Linked DNA regions of Xenopus tropicalis. The protein of the gene in region 2 purifies or fractionates together with the protein of the main gene of each other region. This does not show direct contact. Links are inferred from orthologs where the notes say so. Each region holds a gene or a part of one and is shown on either strand. Other genes may lie near its edges.

Region 1 (3,653 bases), on a different chromosome or scaffold from region 2:
CACATTTTATATTGCAGTACAACTCCTTTTATAAACAATTAAGGTCCCCATACACGCAGAGATCCGCTCGCTTGGCGATCTCTGCACCCGATATCCCCACCTACGGGTCTACGGGTGGGCACTATCGGGGAGCGTGTAGTTAAAAAAATAAATAATTCGATCGTTGGGCCCTGGGGCCGATGCGGTCCCCGATCCGACTGAATTTTCTAACCTGGCCGATCGAGATCTGGCCAATTTCAGGCCAGATATCGGTCAGCCAGGCCCCTCGTTTCTGCCCCTACACAGGCAGTTAAGCTGCCGAATCAGTCCAAGGGACCGACATCGGCAGCTACAATCTGCCCGTGCATGGGGACCTTAAGTGGTAACAGTATTTTTGGGAAGCCATGCCAAGACTTGTGCTTCAGGTGTCTAGTAATGGAAGCAAATTAGATATATTTGTCAACATCACCCAATGATAACCACCTGAAGCTGCTGAATACTAACAGAGATACATTAGTGTTTTCATATCAAAAACCTTTTAGTAGTTTTCACTAGAATCTTGAAGGTATCAATGGCAGTTCTGAGTGCTTCGCCAGAAAAAAAAAAGCCCTATGAGCCTTAAAGGAAACATCAACCCTATTTTAGCTTGCATCGTGTCAGCATAGGGTGCCTTATCCCCCCCAAAACCACTATTTTCACGCCCCAATTCCACTTCTACATCCTGCACCGCCGCCTTCTTCATTACAGTATTAAGCGTTTCACCTGACTGCCATTTTCCCATCCTGACATCATCGCCCCTCCAACCTGACATCTCCAAGGAGATTTTTTCAATGAAACTATAAAAAGAACTCTTTGAAATACATGTCCTCAAGAAAGCTGTCTCAAAGCGCGCATGCTCCCCACGCCAAGTGGAAAGGAGAATTTTGGAGGGGGCCTGAGAAAGCTACATATATGCAGAGAGATCAAGGGAACCAAATCGCACCCGAAAATGAAAATTTTCCGTGTGGCGACTAATCTCCTCGTGTGTCACTGCCCTTAAGGACTAAGAGTGGCAGGTATTTAAAGAATGCAGTGAGGCTTTTTACCGAAAGATTTGTTTGGGTTGACATGTCCTTTAAAGTGGTATTTCACAGAATGGTCTATTTTTTGCTACCTTACATTTTTTTTCTATAGTTTGTAAATGTGTTACCTTACTTTTCTGCTTCTTGCCACATTTCAGATGGAGGTCAGTGACCCTGGCAGCCAAAAAAAACTGTTCAAGGCTATAACTACTGTTATTGCTACTTTTTATTACTTTTCTTTCTATACAGGTTCCTTATTCATAATCCAGCCTCTCATTTAAGCTATGGCCTGGTTGCTAGGGTAATTTGGATCCTAGCAACCAGATAGCTGATGAAATTCCAAACCGGAGAGCTGTTAAAGAGCTTAATTCTAAAGACAAAAAAAATAAAAAAATTGACCAATGGCAAATTGTCTAAGTCTATATCATACTAAAACATTAAAGGTAAACTGCCCCTTGAAGCCGGTCAAGAATATGATATCACTGTACCTGTTGCCCATACTGCATGCTCATGCCACCTTGTGGTCTTCCTTGCATGGACATAGGATATCTCTGTGGACTCTGAGAAGAGTAAGGCTGCACTGGGTATCCAGAGTGTCCCTGTTGAGCTCCCTGCTGCTGGCTGTATGGATTACTGGACCCATATGGCTGGGGTCGCATTTTTCCCATCTGATCCATCGGTGTAGCCGGCTATGGGGGTAGAAAAATGATAAAATTCATTTTAGAAAATATGCAAAACAAATATTGCTTCACTGCAAAGTGCTTGCAATTCATAGAAAAAAAGTAAAAAAAAAAGGTCCCGATGGGGACCGAAACGTAATGTTGGCTGTTCCTGCGTTTTTAATACACAATTGATTGTTTTTGGAATATAACTCTGTGTTGCTGGTCTTTTTTGGATATATATATATATTTATTTTTTGTCTTATACTGGCTTAAACCTCAGATTCAGATATGCCAATTGTAAATGGATCCTTCGTGTTAATTTATCTCATTGTATTTAAAAAAAAAAAAAAAAACCACTAGCATTTCTTGTTGTTAATTGATGCCAATGCGGAGTCTAGGCATATTCCCCCAGCAACAGTTATGTTGAAGTGGCTACAAATAAGTTGACATTAGCTGCCTTTTGGCTACTCCAGAAAAAGCGGACAGTCTACTGATCCATCAGCTAAGTGGCCAAACAGGCAGAAATCTTCTTCAAATTGTCCAGATGTGAAATAGCTTGTTGACGTTAGCTTTAACCAACAAAGCAGAATTTGAGAGACTTACAGAACCACTGCATAAGTATATGCAGCAATGAATGATTTAAACTGTACTTTTAGATTACTGGTTTTAAAAAAATTTTCAGTAACATTATACCACAGAAGAGTACTATCACCCAAATTGAGGGTTTGCATGTTGATGAAAACTGAATATAATGTAATCATATATAGCTAATTAAACCGTACCCTCAGGTTTAAAGCCTTAGTGACATTCCTGGAAAACACTATAGGATGCAGTTTGAAGTGACAACACACACACAGGTTCATTTACAATAACCCACGGCATGCAAACGACAGTTCATACACCTTGCTTCCTCAGCAAAATTTCACTGTAATTGTAGGGTCTCTTAGCAAGTTAGAGAACTTTACCATGTATCAGGCTTTAAGGTCAAGGTGTTGGAATGAGGACTAATCAGACATTACCTGTTCCCACAATAATTAACCTGCTTGTTACCTCTGGGATTAGGCTTGTGAAGGCAGCCGGTGAGAGCTATTTATATCTGAAAAGGCAAGCAGCCGAAGTGTAACAGGTCCCAGCTGTACACCCATCTGAAGTGCAGCCAAAAGCCGGCTGTCTGGTGTGGAGTGCTGGCAGGCAATGAATGACAGGATCTGTGCTCTGGGGACATTATGAGGGAAGGGGGGGGGGGGGGGGGAGAGGAGGGAAACCAACAGCCTTTCTAGATTTCCCCTCCTGAGTTTGCCACACCTAATCAACCCACCCTCACAGCCATAGCAGATAAAACAGGAGGGGCAGCGGACTCTGGCCTTGGGAATTGGCCACATGGCTAATTTGCATGACTGCAAAGCTGGTGAGGGGGTGGAGAATAAGCCCAGAATACTTGAGTGTGAAAAACAATACTAAAGACAGAGGAGGAGATCCGTTTCCACAAGCATATCAATGCCAATGTTACACTTTACTACCAGCACACAGTGACACGCAAGTAAAATGCTTCTTTTCATAAAGTGATGTTCCAAGGATTTAGCCTTGATTGTATGGGTAAATGTAAATACTGATGCATTTTTCAAGACAGTATTTGTTGGTCAGAGAGCCTTAAGACATTTCACTACAAACCACAAAAGGCCTTGCCATCCTCGGACATATATAATTATAAAAAAAAAATTGTTTTTAAATTAAAGTACAGGTTCAGGACCTGTTATCCAGAACACTTGGGGTCTGTGGTTTCCAGATAAGAGATCTTACCATAATTTGGATCTCCTTACCTTACGATTGCTAAAAATAATTTAAATGTTGAATAAACCCAATAGGATTGTTTTACCTCCAATAAGGATTAATTACATCTTAGTTGGGATCAAGTACAATGTACTGTTTCATAATTTTAGAGAAAAAACAT
Region 2 (4,167 bases):
TTTGGCTTCAGGGTAGGGGATAAATAGGACTCCCCTAGACCTGATGAAGAGGGCCTAAGACACCTGCCCCTTCAGGCCTCCTCGCTGGGGGGGCATTCATTCTTTCCATTTTAAAGGAGGGTCTAAATTTGCTGACCCTTGCATTCTTTTGTTTTTTTTTTGCACCTGGGTGAAAAAGCATGTTCTTCAGGCTTCAAAAAACATATGAGTGAGATTGGCAGGGAAGGTCATAGTCATAGTAAACTTAGACTTTGCTGATAAACTTGGTCTTTGCTGATATGAGGGTTGGTTACTTGGGGAGCTCACATTCCAGTTACTGCATGGGGCTCCAAATGTTTTACTTTAGATTAGTTTAGATTTTTTTTCCTTACATACGTTGCATTTTATTCTCAGGGGGACGGATGATCTTCGACAGTATCAGCTTAACCAATAAATACGTTTATGAGTACCAGAGGTCATTGTAGAGCTGTAAACTGTAAAGTTAAATAACAAATGGTTGACCTGCATAGGAAATGGAAGTATGGACAAAGAGCAGTATCGCTGACTCAGAGCAGGGAAGGCGATTTAAAAGTGTTTATATAAGGAAATATGTGCTATAATGATACTTTTCTTTCCCTTACAACACAGCCATACATGAAGAAATAACTAGGCACTATCACAATATGCTGGCGCTAGAGACAAGAAGTGCAATCGAGTCACTGTATTCATGGATTGTACGCAACACAATGCAGTGCGTCACTGTAACGTTACAAAGCTTACTGTCTCGGCAGGCTGCAGAAATCCTAACGAACTGCATTTGGTCCTGACATTTCTGCAGACATAAACGTGCAGACTATCTGCTTTGCAAAGCCATGTTTTAAGAGAGTAAATCATTTCAGGCCAATAAAGAATATAAAAAGAAAGAGTTCTGCACCGCGCCCTTTATTATACAGCAATTAATGGAAAGGATAAGGCGTGGTATATCTAAGTGTAGATTTAATGAAACATATATATGTATATTGATATCTATGTATGTACGTATCTGTGTATATACGTATCCGCATCCTAGCTAGTAGGTGTAACTGCCTCACTCTACGCGCCCCCTTCGCCCGCAGTTCCTACAGCCAATCAGCTTCCCAGTTCCTGGAACGCTCCTTATATGGTGCAGCCGGCTGGGGCGCGCAGCATAAAACCGGCGCCCTAGCCCGACAACTGCTCAGTGACCCGCCCGCACAGAAACAGGACAGTGTGTGTGTCGTACTCTCAGGCAAGTAGCGCCGAGCCTGCTATTGTTGTGCTTTTCCTCTGCTATTTCCTGCTTCTATTCGCCTATTTTTCTCTATATATTATTAGAATAAGCATGATTTGGTTCTAATTGGCTATGTTTTTCATAATGTGCTTGAAATAGTTGGTAGCTTAATGTAGCGTTATTTACTTGAAGGTAAGACTTGTTAGTAGACAAGCGTGAAGCCTGGTTCTGGAATTGTGCTAAAGTTCAGTTCCTTATATGCTTAATTAGATCTTAATTGATAAAGGACACTGGAAGTTGTAGGTTGTACATACTGGAGAGCTGGGGAACCATTTTTCTGTTACAGCAGGTTTAACTTGTAAGTTGCATTTAAAAATAGGGTTTTGTTTTTTTTTTGTATCGTTTCCTCTTCTGTAAACTGAGCCCCCAATAGCAGCGCCGCTTGGGGATGTGCGATTGGGCGGTTCCCTGCCGATGTTAGTGTGAGGCTGCACACAAAGCTACATATTGTGTATAAGTGTGTGATGCAATCTGTGTCGGAACAGCCTTTTGCTGTCTAAAATATATTGGCGGTAGTTCTCTCCCGCTTCGGTTTAGACTTTCCATATGCATGTATATCCGTAACTAGAATACAAAAGCGCAAGTTACATCTTATATATTTATTTTGTCCTTGCACTGGTAAAAACGGAGTCACACCTGCAGTATGTGATTCTGTCCTGTAGTGTTGCCTTCATGAAACATTGGGAGTGGTAGTCGGTTGGTTCGATTGCCTAATACCAGCAGTGACTTGTTTCTTTGCCACACCTTCACTATCCATGGCTGGATGGGAGGGGTGCTTGTGTAAATCTTTGCTGTTGCCTTATTTGGTAATACAGAAAATAAATCGATTTCCCTTTGTCTAAATCTGTACAGAAATGGTGCAAACCCCTGCGCCCTCTTGTGACAGACCTTATGAAATGCAAGTAATGGGCAGGAAGCGTCCTTGTGGTATATACCAGCGCTCATAATTTGGGTGGATAATTATCTCAATTTTATTTATTTTTTAAATTTCAGATTACAATGGACGACGATATTGCTGCACTGGTCGTTGACAATGGTTCTGGTATGTGCAAAGCCGGCTTTGCAGGTGATGATGCACCCCGTGCTGTTTTCCCATCCATTGTTGGTCGCCCAAGACATCAGGTATGCCCTTTTCATGCCTTTTTCATTTCATGTCTAAATAAAACCTAGAAATAAAACTAGTAAAGCACCTCTAACAAATCAGTGTGTTGTCCCAAGGAGGTAAAACATTTTTTTTTTTTTTTTATGTATTTAACTGTTAAAGGTGAAACTAATCTGGGGGCAAATAAAACTGCAATTCTGCATGGGTTATAGGTATGTTGGTAACAATATATTTGCCATTGAGTGTTTTTAAACCATACACGTAAGGATAGTTTCCAAAAAGTGTTGCATAAGATGATGCAATTTTTTTTATTTTTTTTTTTTTTTTTACTCTTTCAAATAAACACTGCAGGCAGGAATAATCACATAAATAGCTGTGCCTAGGGCACCCCCCAACTCTTGTGCCCTAGGCTTGTGTCGGTTATTCCTTTAAGCTGGTTTTGGGCACTTCTCGGCAAGGCTGAAACTAGGAGTAGGCATATTTAAAATAAACTCTTTATACTGTCCACACAAACCCTGTTTATTGACTTATGCTGTGTAAGTGCTAAAGCCAGTTACATTTTCCAACCCTGCATGAAAAGAATTTCTTTTCAGAGTGTAATGTGGTTTAATTTAAATGGAAAAATATTTTAATTAAGTGCAGGTTAAGTGTGTGTATATAGATATTTAATATGATATATATATTGTACTTTGCACACTACATTTCCATATTCTTTGCAAATTGCCTACTTCTGTTTATTTGTGAAATACACAGGGGCGTGGTTAACATAGCAAATGTTCTTGCATACTCTTGTTTCCTGTAAGCACAAGATGACAGGAAGTATTACGAAATTAGAGGGCCCTGCCCAAAAGAGCTTTTACTCTAGAATTTCCTCTTAAAGTCTGCATTATGTGAGGTCCATGAAAATCCACTTTATTCATTCCATTGTCTGGCTAGTATTGAATTAAGGCATGCTTTTCATTTACTAAATTACTTAATTTAGTCCAAATTGTCTTACGCTTTATTTTAGGGTGTCATGGTTGGAATGGGACAGAAAGATAGCTACGTAGGAGACGAAGCTCAAAGCAAAAGAGGTATTCTTACACTCAAATATCCTATTGAGCATGGCATTGTCACTAACTGGGATGATATGGAGAAGATCTGGCATCATACCTTCTACAATGAACTCAGAGTGGCCCCAGAGGAACACCCAGTGCTGCTGACAGAAGCACCCTTGAATCCCAAAGCTAACCGGGAGAAAATGACGCAGGTATGTTACCTGTTTTCTGGTGTGAGGGTTTGGGTTGTGGGTTTTGTTTTGTGTTTTTTGTTTTTTAATTATATAATTGCTATTCCTTACAGGGCTGTCCTGGCCTCAAAGTTTACTGGAATCTCAAAGGTTTTTTTTCAGTATTTGCCTGTTTTACATCAAGGGTAGAATACTAACAATGTTAGCGTTGTGTGAAAAGTGCTGAATGATGGCTTGTTTTTCAAAGTTCACTTTGCTTGTGTTTTTCCTCACATTGGCCCTGCCTAAATTTGTGTTGTGTGCAGCAAAATCAAATGCTGTTCTGAAACTACACATGCATGAGTTTTGGATGCCTTTATGCAGGTAATGTGCTAATTGCCTTTTCAACCATTACAGATCATGTTTGAGACCTTTAACACTCCAGCTATGTATGTTGCCATCCAAGCTGTGTTGTCCCTGTATGCATCTGGTCGTACCACTGGTATTGTCATGGACTCAGGTGATGGTGTAACACACACTGTGCCAATATATGAAGGTTATGCTCTACCC

What was found. The genes of interacting proteins can lie anywhere in the genome.
Region 1: the proteins of actb (region 2) and arid1a purify together in Homo sapiens (affinity purification with mass spectrometry; 3 studies listed by BioGRID and IntAct, with this or other methods). This does not show direct contact. The link is inferred for Xenopus tropicalis from reciprocal best matches to the Homo sapiens genes ACTB and ARID1A.

Annotation. Positions count from the first base shown.
Region 1 is NC_030678.2:77,709,063-77,712,715, reverse strand, and holds part of arid1a (AT-rich interactive domain-containing protein 1A), read right to left. Parts: intron 1,730-3,653; coding exon 1,529-1,729; intron 1-1,528. UniProt on the Homo sapiens protein: Involved in transcriptional activation and repression of select genes by chromatin remodeling (alteration of DNA-nucleosome topology).
Region 2 is NC_030685.2:46,572,597-46,576,763, reverse strand, and holds the start of actb (actin, cytoplasmic 1), read left to right. Parts: upstream 1-1,220; 5' UTR 1,221-1,246; intron 1,247-2,281; 5' UTR 2,282-2,287; coding exon 2,288-2,410; intron 2,411-3,399; coding exon 3,400-3,639; intron 3,640-4,014; coding exon 4,015-4,167. UniProt on the Homo sapiens protein: Actin is a highly conserved protein that polymerizes to produce filaments that form cross-linked networks in the cytoplasm of cells.